3 linked regions of the Drosophila melanogaster genome follow. The protein of the gene in region 3 interacts with the protein of the main gene of each other region in a pairwise test. Each region holds a gene or a part of one and is shown on either strand. Other genes may lie near its edges. The genes, in order: CG10472, Obp58d and CG42359.

The links.
Region 1: the proteins of CG42359 (region 3) and CG10472 interact in a two-hybrid assay, tested with the Drosophila melanogaster proteins (one large-scale study listed by BioGRID).
Region 2: the proteins of CG42359 (region 3) and Obp58d interact in a two-hybrid assay, tested with the Drosophila melanogaster proteins (one large-scale study listed by BioGRID).

What each region holds. Positions count from the first base shown.
Region 1 is NT_037436.4:6,059,227-6,066,563, forward strand, and holds CG10472 (uncharacterized protein), read right to left. Parts: upstream 3,685-7,337; 5' UTR 3,668-3,684; coding exon 3,208-3,667; intron 3,147-3,207; coding exon 3,048-3,146; intron 2,506-3,047; coding exon 2,192-2,505; 3' UTR 2,153-2,191; downstream 1-2,152. Other genes in the region: CG6592 (uncharacterized protein), read left to right, coding at 720-1,228, 1,287-1,462, 1,521-2,152; CG42269 (uncharacterized protein), read left to right, coding at 7,269-7,337.
Region 2 is NT_033778.4:22,703,695-22,710,770, reverse strand, and holds Obp58d (Odorant-binding protein 58d), read right to left. Parts: upstream 3,838-7,076; 5' UTR 3,824-3,837; coding exon 3,695-3,823; intron 3,639-3,694; coding exon 3,510-3,638; intron 3,456-3,509; coding exon 3,057-3,455; 3' UTR 2,999-3,056; downstream 1-2,998. Other genes in the region: CG30275 (uncharacterized protein), read right to left, coding at 1-71, 165-448, 499-1,056, 1,112-1,392, 1,446-1,573, 1,633-1,740, 1,795-2,088, 2,305-2,619 and 1 more; Obp58c (Odorant-binding protein 58c), read left to right, coding at 4,111-4,152, 4,209-4,557, 4,618-4,826; Obp58b (Odorant-binding protein 58b), read right to left, coding at 5,203-5,414, 5,479-5,830, 6,014-6,061; CG30259 (uncharacterized protein), read left to right, coding at 6,373-6,513, 6,584-6,836.
Region 3 is NT_033777.3:19,158,850-19,166,128, forward strand, and holds CG42359 (uncharacterized protein), read right to left. Parts: upstream 3,452-7,279; 5' UTR 3,390-3,451; coding exon of another isoform or gene 3,267-3,389; intron 3,191-3,266; coding exon of another isoform or gene 2,941-3,190; 5' UTR 2,902-2,940; coding exon 2,503-2,901; 3' UTR 2,410-2,502; downstream 1-2,409. Other genes in the region: CG11779 (uncharacterized protein), read right to left, coding at 761-856; nanos, read left to right, coding at 1-136, 210-473; Nsun5 (Nop2/Sun-like domain containing protein 5), read right to left, coding at 1,384-1,814, 1,878-2,375, 2,941-3,190, 3,267-3,389.

The sequences.
Region 1 (7,337 bases), on a different chromosome or scaffold from region 3:
AAGTGGGTTACAAGAGGAAGCAAAGGAAGTCAGGAAGTCCAGCTGACGAAAAAAAAGCAGTTTCAACGGTCAATGAAGCAGTGCATAGAACGGAACAAGCAGCACTTTTAGGAAGCAGGATAGCAAGCAGTTTAAGGCATTTTAGTTTTACCTCCTCAAATCCCTTGAGAAAACCTGTGCCAAGGTTAAAGCCTCCAAAAGCTTTATTAAAGGAATTAAAATAAAAAGAAATAAATATATGCATAAATATACTCATAGGGAAATAAGAAAACATAAAGCTGTTAAGACAAACTGACCAGACACGCAACAAATTGGGAAATATCTAAATTTCAATACCAAAAACGTTTTTCAAATTTGTAAGCAGAGTATTCAGGCCAGGATAACAGATTTTTATTATCTAATTGTTTATAATTTATAAATTTAGAATTCATTTAAGTAATTGAGAAATTTAAATAGCAAATAGTAAAGCTCATCATAATAGTCGCCAAAATTAGTACGAAAGCAAGGCTCAAAGAAGTTGTTTCCCGTAGTACTTAAGTATTCCTATAAACGCTGAAGGCCCCGGTTGTAAGCAGTTTTAGAATCCCCGCATTCAGCTGAACAGGAAACCATGCAAAGGAAATACAGTTAGCAGTGAAAGCAGTCGAATCAACACAAGTGCCAGCAATTGCACTCGCAATTAAAAATTAAATGCGTGCGCGAACAAAGCGACCAAGCCAATGTCCAAACAATCTGCAAGTGCAAGTGCCACGCTGCTGCTGCTCATTTGGCTGACATGGCAAACGATGCAGTGCATCGCGTTGGACTGGCAGCAGGTTAAGCCGATGTACCTGGTGTCCATGTACCCGGGCCCCGCGGGTCTCTCCACTTCCTCGTCCTCCCCATTTTCCTCCTCCGGTTCCCTGGAGCACGATGCGGAAATGAGTGCCAGCAACGTGGACAATCGGCACATAAAGGGGCTGGGAATGGGCAGGGAGATGAGCGCTTTGAGCGAAGAGGACGATCGGGAGCCACTGGTTCTCAACTTGGAGACCACGCCGCTAATGGAGAAGATGTTACCCGAGGGCGCAATGGCGATGGATCGCATCTTCGGCGGTGATGTGGGCAATCCCCACTGTTTTCCCTACCAGGTGGGAATGCTGCTTCAAAGACCTAAGGGTCTTTACTGGTGTGGTGGCTCACTGATCTCTGATAAGCATGTCATCACCGCCGCTCACTGTGTTGACATGTAAGTGACCAGAAGAAATACTAACGATCCAATCATCTTAAGGTTCTACATTTTGCAGGGCGAAGAGGGCCTTGGTTTTCTTGGGCGCCAATGAGATCAAGAACGCCAAGGAGAAGGGACAAGTTCGACTGATGGTGCCAAGCGAAAACTTCCAAATCTACCCTACCTGGAATCCAAAGAGATTAAAGGATGACATTGCTATAGTAAGACTCCCTCATGCCGTCAGCTTTAATGGTGAGTTCTGGTCCTTAACAAAGTGAACTACCTATCTCTGAAATATACATAATTTTAGAGCGCATCCATCCCATTCAATTGCCGAAGAGGCACTACGAGTACCGCAGTTTTAAAAACAAACTGGCCATCGCATCTGGTTGGGGTCGTTATGCCACCGGAGTCCATGCGATCAGCAATGTGCTGCGCTACGTCCAGCTGCAGATAATCGATGGACGGACTTGCAAATCCAACTTCCCGCTATCCTATCGAGGTACAAATATATGCACCAGTGGAAGGAATGCCCGTTCAACTTGCAATGGTGATTCGGGAGGACCTTTGGTTCTCCAAAGGAGGCACTCGAAGAAGAGAGTCCTGGTGGGAATTACATCCTTTGGCAGCATATACGGTTGTGATCGAGGCTATCCGGCGGCCTTCACCAAAGTTGCCTCATATTTGGATTGGATCAGCGATGAAACTGGTGTAAGTGCCCACCAGGATACCACGGAGGCAATATTTTTCGACCAGTATGTGAGGGAATATGGGAAACCACGTCAAAGCCGACGCTTGGAAACGGAGGAGCAGTTGGAAGACGATGTGCCCGACGAACTAGATGTGCATCCGAGACCCGCTTCCGATGAGGACATCTCCGAGAATGTCAGACCGCGAACACGGTCACGCCCGCATTCCGAACACGAGTTCTATTTCTTGTAACCCAAAAATAAACGTTTATTTTAAGATCAAAATCAACGCTTAGTCGCCGTTGTTGACCACACCACTCTTCTCTTCGATCCAGTCCAGGTAGTAGGTGATACGGGTGAAGACACCGGGCCATCCCACCTCGCAGCCGAGAGCAATGCCGAAGGAGGTGGCTCCAATCAGGGTGTTGCTGCCGTCATCCAGGACCAAAGGACCGCCGGAGTCGCCGTTGCAGGTGGAAATTCCGCCGGTGGTCTTGATGCAAATGTTGCTGGCGGCAACCAGACCGAAGTACCAGGGAGAGCAGCCGCTGTTGTTCATGATGGGAACCGTAGCGTACTGCAAAATGTCGGTCGCTCCGGTAGCAGCTGTGTGGAAAGTAAGGAAATATAGTTTAGAACAGTTCTAAGATATTTATAGGAACTACGATTAAAAACATTTTTGAAGATTAAAAACTCATTAAAAAATTAATAATAGAATACTAAACTAACAAAGGATTATAAATAAAGTGTAAAAACAATGTTGCGAAATAACAACAAAAGCAGAAAAGAGTCCATAAAAATCGAATTTTGATAATAAATTTTAAGTGGCCTTTTAATCCAAAGGTAAAATAAAGCGTGAAATTGGGTTTTTTCGATCGTAAATTGCATTAACGAAATACCAAAAATAGAATTTTCTGATAATTTTAGTCACTTTCTAGAATAATTTTGGTTTCTTTTACTTAGTATTTAGTATTTAATATTTAGTGTTAGGATAGATACATTCGCCTCTATTCTACGACCTAAACTAACTCTCTAACCTAACTCTCACTACATATTTTTCGAGTGCTAAACTTGCTGGTTACGTTAAAAGAGCTTAACTTTCTCTAGTAGTTATAAAATTGTAGTTCAAGGGTGTAAGGGTCACTTACAGTCGCTGATCTTGCCCCATCCGGAGGCAATGGCATTCTCTCCGCCGTAGGTGCTGTAGCTGTCGGATTTCACGGGCAGCTTAGCGGGCTGGATGTACTCTGTAATGTATATTAGATAATTGAGAATTTCTGCTATAAAAACCAGTAACGAAGCACTCACTGTTGAACTCAATGGGCACTGGCAACTTGATCAGGGAAATGTCGTTGGTGATGGTCTCGGCGATCCAATCCTCGTGCACGATCACATTCTTTGTCTCCACGAAGATGATCTGCTGTCCCTCCTCCTTGGCGTTGGTGCGATCGTGGGCGCCCAGGTAGACATCCACTCCGGTGGTCAGGCTGTCCGTGCAATGGGCGGCGGTGATGATCCAGCGGTCACTGATGATGGTGCCTCCGCACCAGGCAGCTCCTCCAGTGATGTACAGCAGTAGTCCCACCTGGTAGGGGAACTGGTTGGGCTCGGCAATCTGTCCTCCAGTAATCCTACCGCTGGGCAGGGTCTCGCCATGGACCTTGGGCATCGGGGTCTCGATGTTCAGGTTCTTGACCGAATTCCAGTCCACAGCCTGGGCCCCAAGAATGGTGGCCAAGAGCAGAACCGTAGCGCAGGCGAATTTCATTTTGATCACAACTAAAGTGTTGGCCAAGAACTCGGGCACTTTTATACGGATTTTAAAAGGAGCGTGGGTATCGTAATTCATTGATAATCTTTGGTGAATTAACCCGGCTGTAGTTAACCGAGGTGATTTATAATCGTCTATTTGCCACTACTGATAGAGCCGATGCTACCGATATTCCAAGTGATAAGCAGGGCAAGCAAACCAAGAAGTGTGAATCGATTTGGCCTATATTGGCAATAAAACCCAATCATGAGCAGATTAATCAGTTCGTAGTAGGCTTATCTATTGCAGTGATGACAAACCAAAGGTAATTAACCATTTAACGATGGTATATTAAAGGTTTTCTGAAACTAGTATTATGTTGACCTAAGACTTATAATAATAATTTCTTAAATAGAATATTTTACTAGAACAAAGCAAATCACCTTTGGAATGTTATATTCTTTTGATAATGTAATTGTATTATCTTTGCTAGAGCTTATCTGTAACACTTGTATTGGCGGCGATAGCAAAACCGCCGACATCGATTAGCAAAGGGGTTTTGTGATTTAATTGCATAACCCATAGTGCCCACATTCATAATTCTACCAGTTTAAACTGCGATGTGCCTATGATATGAGTAAACAGTCCGATCGTACGTGTGAACTTCCTGCCGACTCATTATGATGTCATAACAGCCGATGCACTTCCCTCAATTCAATTAAAAGGTTCGGTATTTTCAAAACAACTTCCAAACTTAATTAAAGCATGATACTTATGGAATCAAATGGAAATAAAATAAGTAAAAAAACAAAACAGCTGAAACAAAAGCGGAGAACTAAGCGAGACATGAATCAAAACGGAAATGGATTTAATGCAACAATTTTTGTTTGCTCAATTGAAGGTCGTCTTAAAGTTGAGCGGGCCCAAACAAAAGCCGTCAGTCACAATAATCTGGCCGAGACGAAGTCTAACTGGCCACAAGTTCACAGAGAAGAGCCACAGAGAACCCCCGTACCGTTTCCCATAGAAGGACAGATTTACCCATTTAATTAGCACAGCTTTCTAAAAATTATACAGCTCAAACGACACCTGTCAAGTGCCCAGGTAGGCAGGCACACATAAAACCGAATTACCCATATGACACTATCTCGTTATAAATCTAAAACATAGCCGTTCTATTAGCTTCGCAACAATCGTTGATAGATACATTTAGCAAATTGGCAATAATAAATGGCAAAAGTCCTTGAAGCAGGCCCACCACAGCAGAGCTAATTAAAACATTAAATGCGTAGCAAACTTTTAAACTGTAACAAAAAACACATAGCCAACTGAATCCAAATCAAACTGGGTGTGAAGCTCGTTTCAGAGGGTCGAACACTTAAATACACTAGGATGTTCATAAAGTCCAACCATCAGAGGAGAATAACTTTACGATGTATATCTAGTGTGAACAAACAAAACTATGATTAAATTTAAATCATCAAACTCTGAAACCGCTGAACTTCAACGGCTGTTGATCCAATTTCATTGATGATCCACATATCCCCACATGATAAAAATATCTTAATTCAAATGCATGGCAAATGTCTAATCTTATTTATGTTACATACACTTAGCAAGTGTATAATAATAATGTAATTTATAAGGCGGGATTAAACTGGTTTAAAGCAGCAGCGGTCAAGAGAACAATATTTTCGAGTGCAGTTGTAATGAGAAGCGAAATTATTTGATATGGGTGCGACTTCATAATTAATAAAAATGCATACATGCGCCGCCGCCCCCGGTGTGTAACATCTTAAATATCTTAAATTGAAAACACGAAATTTGTAAATAAATAAGATAAAAAGGCATAAACACATCCAAATATTAATTTAACAGTTAAGCTCTGAATGAAATATATGTATCCGTCTAATTGCATGCACGCACTCTTACACAGAAACACAACAATCATATGCAGAATTCAAATCGAACGCGTTCAAAATTAATTTGATGTGTAAATCTTTCAAAAGTGTGTCTCGAAAAGGAATAATGATGATTGCCAGTTTAGGAAGGAGGAACAAGTAGTCCTAATAAGACGAAGACGATAATAAATAAGATAAGTTACAATCGTAAATAAGAAAATACTTTTACTGGAAAATGTTATGAGTTTGAAGAATTTTTCGCACTTATGTGAAATTCGTTTGATTAAAATCACAAGGAGTTTTCTCGACATAGGAAGAATGTTTATCTAATCATTTAAAATATATATGTTAATTAATAAAAAAAACCAAAATGTCTTAGCGGAAAAGTAATTTACACTGTTAATTGTTTTTTTTTTTTTTCAAACCATTGTGAAATACGTATTAGAATTTAATTTTTTGATGCACTACGCTATTATTTAAGCTCTGCATTCATATTCTATTATATAGATGTTAATCAATACAAATATATATCGAACCCAAAAATTATAGAAATTTTCCAAAAACAAATATGAATTCGCAATGGAAAAGTACTATCCTAATATCAGCAAATGATGAAATTCGTATTACAAAGCTGTTAATTAAAAAACAAACTTTAAATATTATTTGAGTATAAACTAGATTGTTTCTACAAAGTAAAACGTCTTGTTAATACTTGTTTTTCAAGCTATTCACAAATAAATATCAAGTAAATATGTTAATAAGTAGGGTAAACTACTAAAAGACGTACAATAATAAAAATAACTTTAATGGAAATATAAATTATTGAATAATCACATGATAACAATAGCAATTGCAACAATGAACTGTTAAGCTTAAATAAATTGCCGTCATGTCTTTGAAGGCTAATCCCCCCCACCTTCCTCGATCGACGGACTCTAACTCGTTTTGTTAGATGGCTTTATCCATTGTGGAGTTTACTACCCTCGCTGCTCAATTTATGAATGGCCCGTGACGTATTTATAAATATAACAAATAACAAATACTTTTTGCTTAGTTCCTCAATCTCGCCGAGTGGCTTTGGCATGAATCACGTGCATTCTACCACTTGTGGGGGTTATTAATAAAAATCTGGACCCAGCTGGGCCCAAAAGATGTGCACGGGCACCTTCCGAACTTCTGGGAGTCATGGATCGTTCGGCAGGCTTAAAAATAAGCAGCCAAGAGCTCTTAACACAAAATGCCGCCATAAGATCAGGCATCCGATATGATCGTTTGGGGCTCGCCTGCGTTCTGTATCCCCAGCCGATTCACAGCCGATTCAGAATACCGATCCGATCCGATACGAAACGAACCGGTTTGCCAGCTGTGTGAACCAAACAAACAGCTGCTCAGCTGCTAAACTTTCGCTGCCGGCGGTTTCTTGTTCTTGGCAGCAAGTGCAGCGTCTCAAGCCCCAAGCCCCAATCCGCAATCCGCAAACCCCAAACCCCCAAAGCCGAGCTTCTTGGCCGGGCTCATATAAAAACGGCATTTGGCGCGCGTGCTCAGTCAGTTGCAGATTTGAAACGGAAACGCGCGTGTGCGCCGCAATCGAATTCGATCGAGTATTTGGATTTCAAATTGGATTTTTACGCCGTTTCGGTCAAGTTCTGAATCACTTGTAGTGACACACATAAGGCAAGGTCGCGGAATACCACAGTGCCCCAAAGTCAATAGTTATGGAAGGCCAGGCCAAGCAAGCGTACTTCGTTAATGAAGCATTTACCTACGAGGAGCCGCCACAAGGA
Region 2 (7,076 bases), on a different chromosome or scaffold from region 3:
CAATACCCGCCCTGCAAATCACGGTCACTTGAAGCCTAGTCAAACAGGTGAAGTTTTCCGAGTTCTTGTGGCTAATGAGAAATATCAAACATATTAAAAAGACGAAACGAATCCGTCTTGTAGGCTCATATTCGAAATCGCAAACAATGTAACCCTATACTTACTCCTTGCTATTCCATTGAAACACAAGCTGTCGCAGAAAGGCCTTCGTCACTGCACTGAATCCAATGATGACCAGTTTTTGGCTGTTGGTAAACCACTTAACCGGATTGAGTTTGTGGCGATAGATGATCAAATTATCCCTAGAGAAGTTTGGCGGTGGTAGATCCAGCTTTTTCCTCGGTTTTTTATGATTCGCCTGGACCCTAGTAAATACCGGAACCTTTTTAATGGGCTTCGGCTCTACGACCATCATCATCTTTTTCAAGTCGTTGCTGTACTTATAGCCCTAAAGAGTAATTTTATCAAAAGTAAATTTCTAGCGCACTATTCACTTACGTCGACAGAATGAATGAAATAATAATCGTAAAAGCTTGTCTTCCTGGCCAAATCCCTAAATATCAGACCGGCACTAACCAAGAAAAGAGGATGCAAACGCAGTGATATGATCTCTGCCCTTCGTCGATTCAACTGATATTCTTGCTTGGGAAGGTGGTAGTGTTCAAAGAGTTTTTCATGACTGTGAAATTCTCGCACAATCACAAAACCAATCGCAGTGTTTTCCCTAACAGATCTCGTAGAGATCCCACACCGAATCGTGAACACGGCGAACTCACTAAACTCATTCTCCAGCACATCCTTCATGATCGCATCGAGCACATGGAGCTCGTGCTCCAGCTCCTCCCGCTCGTTTACCTTGGAGCAGTACGAGAAGCTGCTGCTGCTTGAATTAGGAGTTTGTGTGTTACTGGGCAAGTTCCCAAGTGCCAACTTGTGCACATGTGCCACGTCCTCCTTTTCCAGTTTGTACAGACTAATCTCCCCAAAGATGGTGCTGCGATGTGTTATGAATACATCGTCCAGGCTGGACAGATTACTTGGCCGTGATGCGACTGGCTGGTGTATGAACTATTTTAAACTATTTCGTTGACTTAAACTAAGTCTGGCCTACCATAAAGTACTGCATCACCTCCAGATAGCTCTTGCTCGCCTTGTACTTCACCGACATCAGCATCATGCAGTAATCCCTGTCCGGATAGGCGCTGAAAATGGCCACCATTGCGTTGAAGAGGCGTGGCAGTGGGAAATCCTGTCGTGCCACAATGCACCTGAGAAGGAAAACGTTTGATGCCGCCGCCATGGCCGCCGGACCTGCGGGCTCCGTTCCGGCCGGATATATAAAATTAATCACGCTTTGTTCGTGCCGCAGATAGTAATCGGTGCTGTGGAGTTCTAGATAAACCCATGTTATGAACGGAGCATCCGGCATTCGCAGTACAACTCACTCTCAAGAATGTACTTGAACTTGGAGTACAGACATTCGCGCATGTAGAACTTATTTTCATTCGCCACATTTGTATCCACAATTGTGCCGCCAATGGAGCTGACCTTCATCTTACCCAGGCTGGCCACGCTGTTGAGAAATATAAATCATTGTGGATATTTGCCTTACAAATTAATAAATAATCACACCTCATACCGCTGTCAACCTTTTGCAGTCCTCCCAGAATCGTCACCGCATTCAGATCGTCGAGGGCATCTGCGGTGAACATGCTAGCCTCCGCTCTTCGCTGTACCGATCTGCAGGACAGTCGGTAAGGAATTACTCTTTCCGCACGTAAAGCCATCACTTACGACACCGTCATCGTCTCGTAGTGGAAGGACCTTCCATCCGCTGGCTTCACCAGATTGCCAAATTGTTCCATCTCGTAGTTGCGCACATAGAACATAATGTCTATATCCGAGGACAGCCACAGAAAGATGGCCATTTCTGACTCCTGCGACTGATTGATTGTTTCGGCCACAACAAGCATACTCTTCGGATTCTGTCCCATTACCTCCTCGGCAATGTAGTAGTCGCCCAGCTCCTCTCGCATTTCTGGGTTCTCGACCTCTTGCATTGCTATAATATCGTCGTTATCTTCGGCCCTTCATGGGAAATATTTAAAACAAAACAAGAATGTTATTGAAACAGTTTCTTCAAATGCCTAACAATATCTAACAATATCTTAGTAGGCGATATCGATTTCAGACAAACTGATTAGTAGTCTGCTGCTTTTTAAGAGGCATTTGAATTTAAAATTTCAAATGCTATTTCTGATATAGTATACAATTTGAACAAGGAGCACAAAGAACAGAGCTTACAGTGCCTTCCGGTAAGTAATCCTCGGCAGAATTACGAACCTATCCACAATGTACAGGGACTGTGTGTTGTTATTCTTATCCATGCTATATTCCAGCGGGTAAAAGACCTGGGATATTTTTTCCAAATCATCGAAGGTTTCCACAAAGTGGATGGGTTGTGGCACATACGGACACCTAACAGTGATCAGAAACCACACCCTGCTCTCCCTGTAGAGCACATCCTTTATGATCTCAACCAGAACCGGGGACTGATCGCTCTTGTAGACGCAAAAGTTGAAAAACAACGCATTCAGCCAGCTAATGGACATGGATAGGCTAAAGGATATATCGGAAATAGATGATATATTCAACGTTTTAAGTCCTTGTATCAGTACCAGTATCTGGTGGACAACCATTCCAACCAGCAATCCGTGGGCAAAGCGGCAATGGAGGGATAGTTACGGAACTCGGCATAGGCCACCAATGCGGAGGATTCAGTGCAAAAAGCCAATATCCTGTAGGTCTGATAGGAATTGAACAGGGAGTCCTTGCCACGAAATTTCGGACGGATATTGCCGAACCACTTGACACCTGGCGATCGAATCAGCTTGTTGAGCCCATCCTGGTCTCCCGCTTGAGCCAAGCGAATCTGAAACTGATTCATCAGTGCGAATAATTTATGTGTGTGGTGTGTGATTAAAACTAAAAAACATACTGCGTTTATAAGCTTAATTTTATTACATGACATTTTTGAGTTTTTTTAATACGTATTCTTAGGCAGGACTCTTTGTGGGCAGTGTAATTCCATCTATTTGGTAGCATTCGGCTTTGGCATTTTCGCACATATCCTTAGTTCCTGCCTTGGCAGTGCCCTCCCACCGGAAGTAGGGACACTCGTGCTTCTGATGATAGTCACTGATGCACATGAATACCATCAATAGATAGGGGCGACAGGCTCCTTTCAGGAGCACCTTAGCCCCAGGACTGGCCTTTAAAAGGTTGTAGACCCCAACAGCATCCTTGCGACAGAACTCGAACATGGCAATGTGATAATCCTTCTCCTTGGGCCGATCCACAAATGTCTTTTCTGCATCCAGCTTGACCATCTTCATGTTGATGGTGTCGCTCTTACCAATGTACTTCTTTTGCTTGTACAGGCACTCCACAAAGCACTGAAGATACAAATATTTTCGTTATAATAGATATATAAAGCTTTAATTACCTACCGATAGAAACCTCAGTGTCTTGCCGATGTCAGCGTCCCCATCCACTGGCAACTTGGGTGAGTGTATAACGAAGCACTTGACCAGGTCCTCCTCTTCTCCTATATAAAGTTCAGAACAGCAGCCAGCCCTCTAAATTGAATTTTTAGACTTAATACGTTTGCTGTTCGGTTTTAAAGTAAGCTCACCGATGTGTTACACTTATCCTCAGTCAAGTCACCTGAAGATATGGCAACTGCAGTAGTTTCCTCATTATCCTGAGCCTTTGAAACGGCCACCAGAATTAGGAACGTCCAATAACAAACAATGTTGACCATTGCTTTTCGAATGTGATTAATTTACCATGGTCATAACATTTATAAAACCATGCGTGCTCATCATTTTGGATAAATGAATTTAAACCCAAATTGGATTGCTTAATTAAATGTAACAAATGTCCATTGTAATGACTGGAATTAAATGAGCGGATAAAGAAACATTTGCAGACAGTCTGATGGCTCGACATTTGGCAAATTGGCAGCGGTTTCCTGTTTTTATTTAAACGATATGTGGGTGACTATATAAGCTGTCGTAGTGGGCTGATTTTGGTATAAACGGCGGAGCAATGAAGTGCACCATTTTATTGAGTTTTTTCAGCCTGATTTGGGTGAGTTCGAGGAATGAAATTCACACTGTTTATATATATTCAAATACATGACTTAGTTTGCTGGTGGAATTAAAATTGATTGCGAGAATACGGAGGCCATTAACGAGGACCACATCCACTATTGCTGCAAGCATCCCGATGGACACAATGATCTAATCGAAGGATGTGCCAGGGAGACCAATTTTACGCTGCCCAATCAAAACGAGGAGGCACTGGTGGACATCACGGCGGACCGAGCCATCCGAGGCACTTGTTTTGGCAAATGCGTCTTTAGCAAACTGAACCTGATGAAGGACAACAACCTGGACATGGATGCCGTGAGAAGTTTGTTCACTGAAAGGTTTCCCGACGATCCGGAATATGCCAAGGAAATGATCAACGCCTTTGATCATTGTCACGGCAAAAGTACAGAGTTGTTATTTCAGCAAGAACTTCTTGGCTAACTGATATTTTTTTCACCAAAAGGCGAAGAGAATACCTCCATGTTCCTGTCGAAGCCCCTCTTCAAGCAAATGTCCAAGCAATTCTGCGATCCGAAGTCTAGTGTCGTCCTGGCCTGTGTCATCCGCCAGTTCTTCCACAACTGCCCGGCGGATCGCTGGTCGAAGACCAAGGAGTGCGAGGATACCCTGGCCTTCAGCAAGAAGTGCCAGGACTCGCTGGCTACTTTGTGAATAATGAGAATATCATTCTTCTGCAATAAAGAACATTAAATTTACGATTTACGACATTCGAATTATTTTGTTTAGATGAAAAAATGTTATGCATTCAGAATTATTCTGTATATTTGGATGTTTTTTTTTTTATAGGGATGTAATGGTAAACAAATACGATCAACTTGACATTAGTTAATATCGTATTTTTGCAAGTGATTTGATAACAATAAATCCATTTAATTAAATGTATTGCTGAGTTGGCATTCAATCACCCACCATTACTTATAAACCAAAAGAGCACATGAATTGAGAGCCATTGTTTTGCTTTAATCATTGGAAAATCATTTCGTTTTCCCAATTAAAATGTATTTCCTGAGGCAGGACTCTAAAGTGCTTACATAGTAGTCAGCACATCCTTGCACTTCCTAGCAAAGGCCAAGGTTTCCACGCACTCGGTGGTATTTGACCAGCGACTCGCTGGACAATTGTGGAAGAAGTTGTAGATGACGCAGGACATGATGATACTCGAGGTCGGCTTACAGAACTTGGCGGTGGAGAAGGCCCTAACAATTGGAAGTGATAGGAACTTTTCGGTGGCCTCTTCAGCTAAAATTTGGAATGGAAAAATTCAATTTTAAACTATGTTGATGGTTATTTTGCATGAGCTCACATTGTGTGTGACATTTTTCGTAGGCATTCAGCATTTCAGTCGCGTACTCCGGATCTGTTTGATGGTACCGCTTGTAGTACGAGCGCACCTTGTCCATATCCAGTGTGTTGTTCTCCATCAGATTGTAGTGATCGAAGACGCACTTGGCCCAGCAGGTTCCAACCATCGCCTGGTCCACGGTCACATCCACGATGGCCTCCTCATTGGGACTGGGCAAACGAAAGTTGGTCTGCTTGGCGCAAGATTCCGTGACATCGTCGTGGCCATCCTGATGTTTGCAGCAATGGTGGATGTTCTCCTCGTGAATACGCTCCATGTGCCGGCAATGAACTCGGACAGCCACGAGTCCATTCTGCATAGAAATATGCACATATTAAAGGATTAAAAAGTAGCTCGAATACGGATCCCCGATGGACCTTGAACTTTCAAAATTATTATGTACAATAAATCCGATCTAGTGTGGATAATCCATTAAAAACACCCTCGAACATTATCCAATCCAGAACAAATTGAAAACGGTGTTATGAGTACGTACCAAGCGCAGTGATATAATCACACAAATCACGAAACCAATTCTCAGCATGATGACAGCTTTCCAGCGGTTCGTCCTCAGTTTTATATGTCAAATGGTTCCCCTTTGATGGACAGCCCTAATGGCGTTTTCCACTGTTTCGCATTAATTTAATTCGCATCCATTATTATGGCAACAAACCTGGCGACGAAAAGCGAAATTATATGGAGTGGGTGGGCTAGTGAATCTTGTCATGGCAACGCCGGCAGTCAATTTATTATTTATTTTCCAAGGCGGCTCTTTGCTCGCCTAATTAGTCAGAGATTGGCCTTTGAAATTTGATAAGCTGATTTTTGGTAGCCGTAAAAAAAAAAAACTAAATCATGGGCAAAAAGGGTAAAGGAAAAGGCAACAAATTGGCCAACATGTCCGAGGAGGAGCGGGCCAGGTATTTGCAAATGAGGGCCGACATGGAGGAAGAGACGAGGCGGCGGAAAATGCAGCTCATTTCCATGTACATGAAGGTAACACACCACGAATTTGCAGTAAATCAAAATCAAAATCCCTATGGTATGACTTTTCCCATTAAAATAGAACAAACTGAAAAGAGAGGATGCTTTTGGTCGACTCAATATGGCTAAAATCAACCAGGAGTGGCGGAGCATTTTGCGCCAGGTGAAAATCCAGGAGCTGCGCCGCGAAATCGTCGATGTGGAGTCTTTCTTTCAGGAGGCACTTAAGCGCAAGGACCAGGTGATCCATCGCCTCATTGCTCACATAGAATCCACCGAGGATATGTACGCCAATCTGCAGCAGTCACACATGGAGAATATCACCAGGATAGTTGGTACGATTGGGATAACATCCTTAAAAATAACATTTTAATCAGAAACTAAATACACAGCTACAGCAATATGTTTAAAGATACTTAAAATGAATGGAATGGATTTCACATGTATATTAATGCTTTCGTTAATAAGAACATTGAAATATTTGGAAATCCAAAAATTACTGGAGTATTTTGATGTACATTTTATGAACAATAAGAAGCATTGTAAAATGAAAATTAAAATGGACACAAACCATT
Region 3 (7,279 bases):
GTCCACCAATCTCGGCGTGGGAATGGGTCTGGGATTGCCCGTGCAGGGCGAACAGCTGCGCGGAGCTTCCAATTCCAGTAACAATAATAACAACAACAACAAGGTGTACAAGCGTTACAACAGCAAGGCCAAAGAGGTGAGTGGATCTGATCCAGGATTCGCAGAATTAAAACTTGCAAAATATATTTGTTATCTTGTTTCTCCAACAGATCAGCCGCCACTGCGTCTTTTGTGAGAATAACAACGAACCAGAGGCGGTTATCAATAGCCACTCAGTGCGAGATAACTTTAACCGAGTGCTGTGCCCCAAACTACGCACCTACGTGTGCCCCATCTGCGGGGCATCTGGGGACTCGGCGCACACGATTAAGTACTGCCCCAAGAAGCCGATCATCACCATGGAGGATGCGATCAAGGCGGAATCGTTCCGCCTAGCCAAGAGCAGTTACTACAAGCAACAGATGAAGGTTTAGAGAGGGCGAATCCAGCTCTGGAGCAGAGGCTCTGGCAGCTTTTGCAGCGTTTATATAACATGAAATATATATACGCATTCCGATCAAAGCTGGGTTAACCAGATAGATAGATAGTAACGTTTAAATAGCGCCTGGCGCGTTCGATTTTAAAGAGATTTAGAGCGTTATCCCGTGCCTATAGATCTTATAGTATAGACAACGAACGATCACTCAAATCCAAGTCAATAATTCAAGAATTTATGTCTGTTTCTGTGAAAGGGAAACTAATTTTGTTAAAGAAGACTTACAATATCGTAATACTTGTTCAATCGTCGTGGCCGATAGAAATATCTTACAATCCGAAAGTTGATGAATGGAATTGGTCTGCAACTGGTCGCCTTCATTTCGTAAAATGTTCGCTTGCGGCCGAAAAATTTCGATATATCTACAATTGATCTACAATCTTTACTAAATTTTGAAAAAGGAACACTTTGAATTTCGAACTGTCAATCGTATCATTAGAATTTAATCTAAATTTAAATCTTGCTAAAGGAAATAGCAAGGAACACTTTCGTCGTCGGCTACGCATTCATTGTAAAATTTTAAATTTTGACATTCCGCACTTTTTGATAGATAAGCGAAGAGTATTTTTATTACATGTATCGCAAGTATTCATTTCAACACACATATCTATATATATATATATATATATATATATATATATATATATATATGTTATATATTTATTCAATTTTGTTTACCATTGATCAATTTTTCACACATGAAACAACCGCCAGCATTATATAATTTTTTTATTTTTTTAAAAAATGTGTACACATATTCTGAAAATGAAAAATTCAATGGCTCGAGTGCCAAATAAAGAAATGGTTACAATTTAAGGAAACAAATGTCCTTCTTGCGTTTGAAACAACTAATCCTTTTCGCCCTCGCGGCGTTTCTCGAAAAGGGCCAGGAAGATGCCATCGGTAAGATCACTGTCCGGCTGGCAATACAGGACGTTCTTGCCAATATTGGGATAGTCCTTGTCGCCCACATTGTGCCACTTGTTGCGCAAGGCCTTCTTGCAGCTGAGCAGCTTGAAGGATGGATTTAGCTGAAGACAACGCTGCACCACCTGCTCGTTTTCCTCCTTCCACAGCGAACACGTGCAGTAGGCAATGCGTTTGACGTTCGGAAAGGCGCCCATCGCGTGCGACAGGATCTTAATTTGCAAACCCTGCAGCTTTTGCAGCCGCTTGTCCTCCTTCGGCTCGTCGCACACGGTCATGCGGTTTTGCATTCCGCTGCCAGAGCAACTAGGGTCCACCAGGATGTACTCTACGTCCGGAAAGCGTTCGGGTGCTGAAATTCAAACGTGTTACTTTTTTAAATATTCATTGTGAAATATATAAATATAAAACTCACTTAGGTTCAAGGCGTCTCCCAAAATGGGTTTTACAATATCGCAACCAGCATCCTTTGTTATTTCGCACAGCGTATTGTAGCGTACGTGGTCCTGCTCCACGGAGTAGATGCATCCCTTGTTCTGCATCACATTGCATATGTGCACTGTCTTCATACCGGGAGCTGCGCACATATCCAGCACAGTGGCCCCAGACGGCGGAGCAAGTAGTTCGGCGGCCAAACAGGTGGCCTTGTTCTGCAGTATAAACCTCTTGCTGTGCACCAACGGATGGCGGACCCAGTAGTTGGACCACTTGGCAGGAAAAATGAGCACACCCTCAACGTGCAGATCGGTCATGAACTCGTTCTCCGCCAGCGATTTGATGGCAGTCAGAAAATCCGCATAGCTGGCGTCCGCAGGCAGCTCCTTGCGCCGCCAGTCGCTTTTATGCAGGTAGTCCAAGGCCTCCGCCAAGCTGTATAGATTTGTGTTGATGCGCACATATCGAGGATTGGGTTCTGTGTGGGCAAACAAAAAGACGAGTTCAAAATTGTAGCCAAAGTAAGATTTATTAAGAGTTGTTAAGAGTCGTTACTGGTCCTTTAAACGATCGAAATAATCTGGACTTGGCTGGCAGCACTTAAGTTACTGTTCTTTCTTTGGCTCCGCAGCTTCCGGCTCGTCGTCCTCATCCTGCTGCACGGGTTCCAAGGGTGGTGGGGGCTTCTCGCGGAAAGCCTTTAATACATACATGGCCACCACGAGGTTAACAACCACAACAGCCGTGAGAACTGACCAACAGTTGACCGTGAAAAGGTCCAAATGGGGGAAGGACTCCTGCAGCCAGCTGCGGACGCCATAGAAGCCCAAGAAGGGCAGCGTGAACATGAGCACACTGTAGGCCAACAGCCAGAGGAAGACCTCCGCACTGGTGTCCTCCTGCTGCGTATGATGCTCCACGGGAGAATCAATGACAGCCGGGGAATCATCAGTGGTAGCTGGCACCACATCGACATGCTGTTGTTTCCTGTTCTTCTTGCCCATCTCAGCCGGCTAATACTGGTAATCGGTGTGATAACCTGCCTTTTCGCTGGACACCGAAATCTCTGATGGAATTTAGCAGTCGATCCTTGTAACTTCGCACCGTTTGCACGGGTTTGCTTTCGCCGTTCAGCTCCTTCCTGCCAAACAGCAGTTCGGTGACTAGAATCTTGGCCAAACTGGGATCAAAACTGGGATTGTCCCTGAGCAGTCCTGTCTCTTCGATGGCCTTTTCCAGTGCCACACGATTTTCGCTAAATTTTTTCAGAACCGTATGCAAAGAGCGTGTACGCTACAAGTGAAGTGCGAGAGGGAAAAGTTATACGCATATTGGTTTGATCTGCGGACGAGAGGTCCAATCCACTTACGGCATGCTTCTCTGCAAATATTAGGGTCTTGATGCACTTCTGCTGCTCCAGTGCCGCCTTCAAAATCTTGGCAGTCGCCCTGTATTGGGTGGGAACTTTTATGGAATGCGGTTTTTTACTCATTGTCGTCACGTGCACGTGTATGTGTTGTTTGCGCTAGAATAGGTGCAACCCCAATCACGACTTTATCGATATATGCTTATCGAATGTCAGGGCTGGAGATAAGCATGTGGCGTTTGAAACAAATCATATTGTTATTCATGTTTTGAAAATATCTACAATTAATGTAAAGGTTGTTCTAATTTTGCCAACGATAACTACAAAACATATATGTTCTATCCAATATATTTACATACAGGGTATCAAATTTACAAATAAATTGGCAGTGTGGCCATACGTTGCGAGCAAAAATTACTGTACTTCAAGCATTGCCAACACAAGAATATTTTCATGGTTAAAAATTTTGGCGCGATAAAGCCGCAGTTTAAAATGTCAAAGTGTGCGCGTTCTTGGAGGTTTACCAAAATTTAGAATCATGCTTTTATTTATCGTGCATAAGTTGGTAAATTGGAATTAAATCAAGTTTTTTCCAATTTGTTTCTGGTGTGTCGTTTGTTTTGGGGTCTGTACGGCTGCTTTAATTAAAAAATATTAAAATGAAGCACGCTATTCTTTAAGGACTTTAAGGAAACGTACCTTTCTATGTTTGCCCAGGAGTTGATAGACGATATCAAGGCTGAGGATCGCATCCTACAATGTCCTTGGTGCGAAGAACAGACGTTGAGTCCATCAGCCAGCACCCGGAAACTTTTGTATTGGCTTTTAACGCTTTCAATTCGACTTTCAGAAAAGAGTCTCCTCGAAAATCACGACTGATATCCATGTAAATGAATCGGTAGATACTTGCACTTTCTTTTTAGTTATTAAAACTGACACACTGTCACTTTGCAGGTTTTAACCGCTGGCGGAAATGAAGAAGGAATCCGGGAATATTCATTTCAGTCCATTGTGGTGCACAGCGGAACTCCCCTCAGGAACAATCTTAGCCCACTAAACATCAATAAACTACTAAAATAACTTTGACTGCTGCTTAATTTCAAATATACATAAATTAATATTTTTTATTTTTAAGTTAAATTTTTTAATTCTTTTGGAGGCTCAAATTTTATATTTGGCGCAGCACTTTAATGTAGAAAATGTGAATAAAGAAATATTTCAAGGGTAAACAACAAAAAATGTTTTGATTTTGTAAAAAAAAAAACCTTAAAAATTATGAGGAGTTATAAAATAATTATCAGTTTCCGGAACTTTAAAATTCTTATCTTCAATTTGATCTTCAAGACATATTTTTCTTATAATAATATTATCAATAATATTATATAATATGTAACGGATATTTAAGTTCTTCATTTTCTTTTTCAGAAGTATTAACAAATGCATATATATAAATACATATATATTTATACAATAGAATCGCATAGGCATGAATTCAGCGCGCAAAATAATATAATTACAATAACATTGATATTATATAATAGATTATAATAATATACATATGTAAGTGTAAGTTATAAAATGGTAACAAAGTTCAACAGCTCATAGGCGAAGATCCAGTGGCACGGAATTTTCAATACAGCCAGGAGAACATCCTAATATTTTGGATAAACTCTTTGTGCCACTGTTCCGGGTGATGTGCATCATGTCCAGCACGGAGGACCTTATGTACCACTATTGCTGTTTCCTAGATTAGGATTCGCTAAAAGCTTAAATTGTAATTTCAGATTCCCAAAAATAGAAAATACCGCCAAAAGTCAGGGCAATGGCACTGCAGAAAGGATGCAGGATATTATATGTTCTTTTTGTTTTTCTCTCCCCAGAATTTGGCCCAATTAAATTTGGTATTCGAAAAAAAGAGCACGCCTCCTCCCCGAAACCGAAAAAAAACTCTGTGGCGCCGGGAACAAAAAAGAGCGCGAGAGAGTGAGAGCGCACACATAAAAAACATAAACAAGCCTTTTTCACTAGTGTGCGTTTGTGCGGAGAGAGAAGAGAGCGAAAAACAACTTCTGAAAAAAGACGCTCTTCGCTGTGATTTTTTTTCAGTCAGTTTTTCGACGGTCGTGAACACGAACAGTTATTCTAGCTCCTCCTGTTCTGCTGCTTCTGTTGGTGTTTTTTTGCGTTTGCCGCGACGTAAACAACCGAAGAGCGGAGCTTACGCCCCCAACTGCTCCAGCTCCACGCCCCCCTCGCAACGTGTTCGTTGTAAATGCAATTAATCGTTGTTGGTCGCTGAAAAAACTAATATTTCGGGAGTCCGATACAAGAAGGGCAAAAAAGCACAAGTGCAGAAAAAGCAAAAAAAAACATAAGCTTGCCGTGTGTGTGCGTTGGTGTGTGTGTGTATTTTTGGCGTGCGCGGCCATTTTTTCTTGTTGCCACTCGAGAGTCTCTTCTGTGTGCGAAAGAGAGGCCCGACGGCAAAGCAGAACGTAGCAAACTACGCAAATCCCCACTAAATTCGCTAATTTTCGCTAAATAAATCAATCGCAAGGGGTGCCCAAAAACAAACAAAAGTACGAAAATAGAGTGCCGCAGACCACAAACAAATCACCTGCGCCAGTGTGTGTGAGTGTGTCAGTGTGCGAAACAGGCAAGCTCCCAGGCGGGCTCCCACCCACAATCAGTCGGCGAACACGTGCTCCAAAATATCAACAAAAGTTGGCCCACAAACATAAAAAAGGGGGCCGCGACTGCATCCGAGACCCGAACGCCGGAACACAAAAGGCACTTTCAAATTGGTAAGTACTTTGCGCTGCACGAGCATGTTTTATTTATTTGCCTTATTGGTCAAACACACTTGCGATTGCGGTGTTTGTTTCTCTTTCCCGCGCTCACGCACAGTGGTCGCTTTTGTTATAATTGTGAGACTTGAAAACGATCGCCGTAAAATTCACATTTTTAACAAAATATTTACTGTTCGAAAGAGGGGTTTTTTGCGAATCGATGATTAGTTGACGTGTTATTATGAGAAAAACATAAAAGATTATAGGACATTATTTTTTTAAAAATGTTGCAAAAATGATTTAAAGTTTGCGATTTCCTTGTTAAATAACATGAAAGCGTTTACAGTTATTACTATTACAAAATTATAACGATTTAATATGCATATCCTTTATATATTAATTGCTACTTGAAAATTACCTAATGTAAAAACTTATATAAAGCAAATGAATTACAATTTATTTATTGGTTAGGACTCTATATCCTATTTTATAAAAAAAAAATAATAGCACAATTTCCAAAGTGTTTGTCCAGTGTTCCATTGGTCAAATACTTATTGTTTCCTTATTTCCGAATCTTCGCTATTTGGGGAATAAGTCAAAACCTTTAAACTCCAAACATTTGTAAGCCGAATGCGACTGTCAACAAATAATTAAACCAGAATAATTTCAAAAGCGTTTTGCAGTCGTGCCGCACTACTTGACCATTCCGTTTAGTCGCTTGTTTGACTTTTTATGCTCGTTCCCATTCATTTGGTGGCGGTTTTTTTTTCATTTGTGTTTGTGTGTCGATGTCTTTTTATCTTCCACTTTTTTCGTACTCATCAAATATTCGCTTCTTTTTTCGCACACATGTCGCCCCCAACAAAAGAGAGTGAGAGAGCAGTCCGATTGCGGTTGTTGCGCTGTTGTTGTTGTTCGCTCGCTCGTTCGTTTGTTTATGCTCGCTCTTTGCTCTCTTTTGTTTTCAGCTGCTCGCGCTCAATTAATTTTCGTTGATTCGTTTTTTGTGTGTAGGTTTTTTGTGTATACCATTTTATTTATACGCTTTTTGGGCTTCTCTTTCTCGTGTTTTTCTTTTTTGGGGTTTTCTTCTTTTTTTTTTTGTTGTATTTTTGGGGACTGACCGATTGCGTTTATTTATCCCCAATTTCCCCATTTGCATTCATTATGTTGAGCGGTCAATTTCCCGTGTTTCTGGATCTGTTGTTACACGGTTGCGATTACGAT